Linked DNA regions of Coturnix japonica. The protein of the gene in region 1 purifies or fractionates together with the protein of each later gene. This does not show direct contact. Links are inferred from orthologs where the notes say so. Each region holds a gene or a part of one and is shown in the gene's direction. Other genes may lie near its edges. The genes, in order: GID8 and RMND5A.

Region 1 (3,005 bases):
ATTTGTTTTAGAAAAACAAAGTTAGTTTTCTTTATCTGTTTTTTCTCATTAAAACTATATAAATGTGGTTGGGGATGGGAGGGAGAAACAAAATAATGCAAATTCTTAAAATAGGAGCCCATTTGTGAAACAGATTTGTAGGTAAAACGTTTTTATTTCAGAGGGCTTTAAAGAAGCAGCAGAGAAATTTCGAATGGAGTCTGGAATTGAACCCAGCGTTGATTTAGAGACTCTCGATGAAAGAATAAAAATCAGAGAAATGATTCTGAAAGGACAGATTCAAGAAGCCATTTCATTAATAAACAGCCTCCATCCAGAACTGTTAGATACAAACAGATATCTCTACTTTCATTTGCAGGTAAGGACAAGTGGCCGTTTTTGTTTTAGAAGTTGTTAAGAAACTCTGGAAGAAGTGTGAGTTTAAGAGTATGTTAAGGGATTTGTGGCTGAACATAATTGCAGTTTCAAATGTTCGTTTTTGATATCATTTAATAGTTATGGGAAGATCTGTGGCATGGTACAACAACTGTCATATCATGTTAATTAGTAAGTTGGAAACTTTTAACAGTGGGAATGATCTGTGATTTACCAACTATTAATCTGGATTTCTGGTGGTTCCTTTAGAAACACATTTTCAAAACGTGTTATTTGGAAACCTCAGACTGCCTTTACTAGTAAATCTTGTTGGCAAATCTGTTACTTCTTAGATGTTTAGAAATGACCTTAAGCTTTCATGGTATGGATTAGTATTTGTCTCAAATTACATACAAATGACAGAAGATTATGGTCTCGAAATACTGGAGATTTGCTGCTTTGTTTAGCTAATATCACTGTGGTTTTTTTTTGTATGTAGCAGCAGCATTTGATTGAACTGATTCGGCAGCGTGAGACAGAAGCAGCTCTGGAATTTGCTCAGACCCAATTAGCAGAACAAGGCGAGGAGAGCCGGGAATGCCTGACAGAAATGGAGCGCACGCTGGCTTTGCTTGCCTTTGATAATCCTGAAGAATCACCATTTGGAGACTTGCTGAACATGATGCAGCGACAGAAGGTAGAATTTGCTCATAAGGAAGTCGATGTATTTTATTTGTGTGTGGTGAAAACCGTGTCCAAATATTTTTGAAATATATGGAAATGTGTATAGCTCTGTGCAAAAGAGCAGAAGTATTTCTTAAGCAGCATTCTAAAACCTGATGATGCCAATAATAGGCTGTTTGACTTTCTTCTTTGTTTCTCTAGGCTGTTGGTATATGGAGCTTTGTCCTGGCCTCATTCTGAGGAGTTAACAAGCTGTGTGTGATGTTATCAATGTCTCTGTAACATTACAAAGTGTTAATCATAGGCAAACTGTTACTAAACTCCAGTATTTCTTTTCCAGGTATGGAGTGAGGTTAATCAAGCTGTTCTAGACTATGAAAATCGTGAATCGACGCCCAAGTTGGCAAAATTACTGAAACTACTACTGTGGGCTCAGAACGAGCTAGACCAGAAGAAAGTGAAATACCCCAAAATGACAGACCTCAGCAAGGGGACAATTGAAGAACCCAAGTAAAATGTGTGCAGATGGACATCAAACAATCATAGTACTGCACAGTATACATTTATATCAGTCTGTGACTGAAATATTTTTACTACAGTACAGCACTCAATTCAGATTTTTCAATGAACATCTAATTTGAAGGGAGAAAAGTCCCTTTTGAATGCTGCAAAAACTGCATTGAAAGGCGCTGTATCTCTTTGAAAGTCTGACTTAGGCTATGCACTATAATACATTTTTAAAAGAAAACCAATTAAACAGGACAGGAAAAAATCACGTTTTTAAAAGTACAGAACTCAAGCTTTCTAATTGGCTACTGATGCTTAGTTGAGTGGTCAGTGAGTTAATACGGAGTTACATTGGCAATTATTCAGTTAAGTTAAACTGTCTCCTGTTTGAAATGTGTATATAGAACAGTGAATATTTTCTACCTTTAAGTTATAGCAAGATATACATTCCCCTTAAGAGTAACTGGTCATGTTTTCACCTATAAACTTTGCAGTAAGGTCAACCTTTTGCCTAGGAAATAGTGTACAAACTTGTAAATCTTAATTTAAGAACTTTTTTTTTTCCTTGTTTCTGACTTTTTGGTGCTTTATATGGTGAGAGCTATGTTCGTAATGGATCGGTGACCCATCTTTTCATGAGAAGTATTGTTGGAAATAAGTTTTTTTTCTTAATTTTCATGAATGACCAAAATGGCCCTCAGAGGCATTTGAGAGTTTTTCTTAAAGGGGACCTTTCCCTTCCATGTAGAGTTTGCAGCTGCAGACACTGCAGTGATTCCAGCAGGTTAGTAGAGCTTGGAGGGCCACCGGATTTTTGTAAGCTGAAAGACATACTTGTGTTAGGCAATGAAGTGGGGGGAGAGATACTTATGGAAGCCTCTGATGCATCTTCTTGTGCAGGATCTGCCTTTACTCACGCTGAATAAGAATTGTAGTTTTAGAGCTACTTGGGCTGTTTTTATGCCTTGAGCTGAGCAGAGCAGGGCTGTCTTTAAAGGCTGAAATGTCAACTTTTTTCGATTCTTTCCATACCTTTCTGAAGAGATACAGTTCATCTCCACCTGTATTACTTTGTTTACTGCCCGCCCTCACTCCAGTTAGGATTCTAGTTTTAATGTTTTACGTGTGAAGTCCAGACTTTCAAGTCAACAAATTGTAATCTTGTGGGTATGGGATGTTCAGGTCAACTTAATTTTGCAGCACTGTTCACTGGTATATATCCAGTGGTAGCACTAATCTTGCCAAATCAGTCTGTAGGTTTATAGGTCTGTATATCAAGTTATTAACGATTTGTTGAACAAAGACCGATCTGGTGGGTGAGGTAGCTGAACATCACGATGCACTGGCAGTTGTCATACCAGTCCCATACTGTACATAATCTAGTCTTGTATGGTAGATATTACCCTGTAGAATTAAACTTAGTTTTCACTTAATTTTACTGGAATACTTACGCATTAAAC
Region 2 (3,826 bases), on another chromosome or scaffold:
GAGCACTTATGTTTCGGTTGTGGTATAATCCGACTTCCTGGGAGAAGGCACCAGAAAGTTACTTAATCCTTTATGTAAGTTTAAAATGCCTGTCACAAGAAGTAAACAGTAACAGAACTAATGGTTATTATTGAAGGTAAGAGATGTGTTGAGCCAAATTGGTGACTGTCCACTCAAGGGACTGTTTCCATCCTCAATAGGAAAAACGAAGAGCTCTGTCAGAGCTTAACATTGTCTTCATGGAACCAGAGAAAGAAACTTGGTGCATGGGGGGTGTGGAGTTATTTACTTACCTAGGGGTGATCAATTGTAGTATGTAACAACATAAGCTTGTTTCTGCTGTTGATGCCAATAGCAGAGTTGAAAGTTGGGATGCATAAGAGAAGGCGTTAAGAGTAAGGGCTGCTGAATGGTTCTTTGTGAGCTGGGTTTCCTTTGCCCTCTCCAAGGCACATTGTTAAGCGTGCATTGTAATAGTTACTGTTTGTTTCTATTGTTCTCAGCTTGCCAGCATTGGAACTGATCTCTTAAGGTGTCACTCGAACCAGAAACCTGCTGAAGTACAGAATGAGAAGGGAACAAACTTGATGAAAGAAGTGATTTGCTTTTTAAAATCTTCAGAGAAATGGTTTGGGTTTTTATTTTCCACGTGAATTGTTTGGATCTGGGATGTTAGAAAGCATTTCTGGGCTGGTCTATTTAAAGTAGCCTTCAGTAGAGCTGAAGTGCTGAGTGTGTGTGCCTAAAAGGATCCATCTTCAAGTAGAATGAAGTTAGAGAGAGGAGAGACATGCAGAGGTAAGGCTGGCAAGTTAGAAACCAAAAGCAGTAAAGCACAGAAGGATGCTTTTAACGCTGTTGTTGGTTGTGGCAGGAGGGATGTGAATTAGGTGAGAGGAGACGGTAAGGGGGTTGTGAGCATTGCATATTTATATTGCCCCCAGCACGGGTCATACAGCACTGCACTGTTGGGTGAGCTTAACGTTGTACTGCTAGAGATAAATCCTACCTGACCATCCACTCGTTCTTAGAACCCTGATGTCTACACTCAGGGCCTTTATGGGTTATTTTGCATCCCTCAAGGAGAGGCTGAGACTGATGGCACTATTTGGGGCTGTTCCCACTGCTCAGGATGCAAACGTTTTGCACAGCTCAAATGCAGGCTGACACCTTATGGAGTAAGGAGGTAGTTTGAGGTTGAGAGTGAATTGGGACCTCATTAATTCAAACTTTGCTGTCACATTGTTGACTTTAAACACAGTGCTCCGATGTGTCTTCAGGGAGAGGTTTAGAAGGGAACTGATCCTGTAGCAGTTTAGAGTCAGTTTCCTGTTATGTGTGTTTGGGGGTGTTTCTTGGAGACCTGTTTATTAATCTGCTGAACTCAAGTAGGATGCACAAGATATTTATGTTACTTTTTAAAGTGCTGCACTTACCGAGTGTTATTTCTGTACCACACTGGTTTCCTCGTGGGCTGAGCCATGTCCTGTGTGTTTTACTTAATTTAAGCTTCACCAATGCTTCCTAATCATATTTCTTTCTTTTAATACCTCTTGTCTTTATGATGTTGCATGTTGAGTCATTTAAGTTGTTTCTTTCTAACAGAGTTGGTAATTTTCCTCTCTTTTGCGTTTAGATCAAGATGGAGACTTGTCAGGGACAATTTCACTTGTTATGACGCAGTGTTGTAAAAGAATAAAGGACACAGTTCAAAAACTGGCCTCTGATCACAAAGACATTCACAGCAGTGTATCCCGAGTTGGAAAAGCCATTGATAAGGTATGTGTACTGTGGCTTGATGGTGTTACTGCATGTATTCCGTGATCACAGATACTCTCTCACAGAACTGTGATCAGTTCATCTTTAGTCTTCCTTTCAGCTGCAGCAGTGTAGGGTTGGAGGTAGACATAAGAGCATAGGGTGTGCAGCAGCACTTCAGAACTCCTATACAGAGTGCTTCATTTTGGAGCAGCTCGAATCTGTCATTAACAAGAGAACGTGGCATGGAGGTCCAGACCTGGTAACAGAAAGTATTATATCTGCATAGCAAAATGTTTGCCTCAACAATAGTCTTGATAAGGAGTATTATTTATAGATGTGTGTTTCAGTTCTGATTAATTGTCCACGGCAAATGACCAGGAAGTAGTATTCTGTTCTTGAAGGCAGCTTAGAAGCTGAGAGAATTTGAGACAGACATCCTTACATATATCAGATGTGTCATCGGTTCTTAGGGCTTAATTTCACAACGTTGTGGTTGAATTTATTCTACTTTCATTAAAAACAACTTTTCAGCTGGACAGAAACACTTGTGTCATTACAGGGCACTAATTCATCATTTGAGTATCTCATTTCAACTTTGTTAGTAGTGGTAAGCTATTAAAGCATCATTTAACAGTAACACAACAAGCTGATGAAGTGCATAGTGCTGCATTGTAGGGCAGAACGTCTGTGCAGCTGTTGGGATTGTTTTGCTTATGATTGACCATCATGGAGAGCTCAAACTTTGTACTAATAGCTTTAATCCAAGCATCACTGTTATCCAAAGCTTAAGGGTGCATCTGCCTCTTCTAATCCTTGCTGCTGCATCTAAACCTATTAACTAGAGTAAAATTCCATCCTTATTACTGGTGTGAAGCCTGAAATAAATCTATGTAATCTTGTCCTCTGTTTGAAACTTTCCTATTCTGCCTTACCATGTGGACTGTGTATTAAAAGCTTTCAGATTTGGGTGTACCTTTTTCATTTCAATAGTCTGAGGTACAGCAGCCCTTGGTCTTGTATAAAGGGTGTAAATCTGCCATGGAAATTAGTGGCAATATTTCTTAGAGGCCAACGGAGACAATGAATACAAGCTTAATAAAGTTGAGACTTGAGTCTGATATTCAAATTGCTGCTGCTTTGTCTTGTGCATAGTTCTGACAGCGATGTTGCTGTCTTAGCATTCTGTCTACTGGTTTCATTTTAAAAAGAACGGCTATAAATGAAAGCATTTGTTAAATTTGAAGTGCTTGGTTTTATAAACAGCAGGAAGGGATGCAGTGATCTACTGTGTGCCTGTAAGGGGTCAGAAAAGCTGTTTCAGAGGGCTGTTCCATACAGAGCTCAACTTGCACTGTGTGACCTGCTTGTTCCCCTGGATTCTCGCTCTTGCTACATGTCTATAATGTTTTCAACAAAAGGCTTCCAGTGGAAACTGCACGTGTCCCCTGTCCTGCTGGGAGCTGAGGACACGTTACTGGGCACCAGTGAGGATTATCTCCTTAGATAGGAGCTGTTCAGCATTCAAGTAGTTTGGATTTATCACTTCTCACTGCTACTTGAAGGTATATCCTGAAATCCCAGCATGTTTGTCAAATGAAAGTGCAAAGTTTAAACCCTGGACAGTAACACCTGAAGGGAACTTTCCATGTATGTTCAGTGCATTTTCTCCATGCTGCTGGAAAACGTGCTCAAAAACTACTGAAATTGCCTTCTCCACATTGCTTCCCTATAATATACTTAAGCTGAAACTAATAGCAGTAATTAACTGTAATTGATGTCGCAAATTGATTCTTGACACATTCTGGACAAAATATTACTGCTTCAGAAATGAAATGCTTGTCTGAATTTAAAGAAGCAGCCTCTGCTTTGATTCAGGAGATCTGAGTTCCGTTTGCTGTGTCTAAATCCTCACCCAGCATTTTCTCATTTATTTTATGGCTGGATTAACATCTCTGGAACACCAGTTGCGGTGGTTGTAGCTGTGTTTGCTCAGGCACGGATAAATATAACTCATGATTTTATTGCCTGCTTTGAGGTTGGGAGACATGCTGATGCTGGTACCAAT

What was found.
Region 2: the proteins of GID8 (region 1) and RMND5A purify together in Homo sapiens (affinity purification with mass spectrometry; 5 studies listed by BioGRID and IntAct, counting the BioPlex papers as one, with this or other methods). This does not show direct contact. The link is inferred for Coturnix japonica from reciprocal best matches to the Homo sapiens genes GID8 and RMND5A.

Annotation. Positions count from the first base shown.
Region 1 is NC_029535.1:7,559,499-7,562,503, forward strand, and holds part of GID8 (glucose-induced degradation protein 8 homolog), read left to right. Parts: intron 1-161; coding exon 162-358; intron 359-853; coding exon 854-1,051; intron 1,052-1,378; coding exon 1,379-1,552; 3' UTR 1,553-3,005. UniProt on the Homo sapiens protein: Core component of the CTLH E3 ubiquitin-protein ligase complex that selectively accepts ubiquitin from UBE2H and mediates ubiquitination and subsequent proteasomal degradation of the transcription factor HBP1.
Region 2 is NC_029519.1:77,632,873-77,636,698, forward strand, and holds part of RMND5A (E3 ubiquitin-protein transferase RMND5A), read left to right. Parts: intron 1-492; exon of another isoform or gene 493-767; coding exon of another isoform or gene 768-798; intron 799-1,636; coding exon 1,637-1,779; intron 1,780-3,826.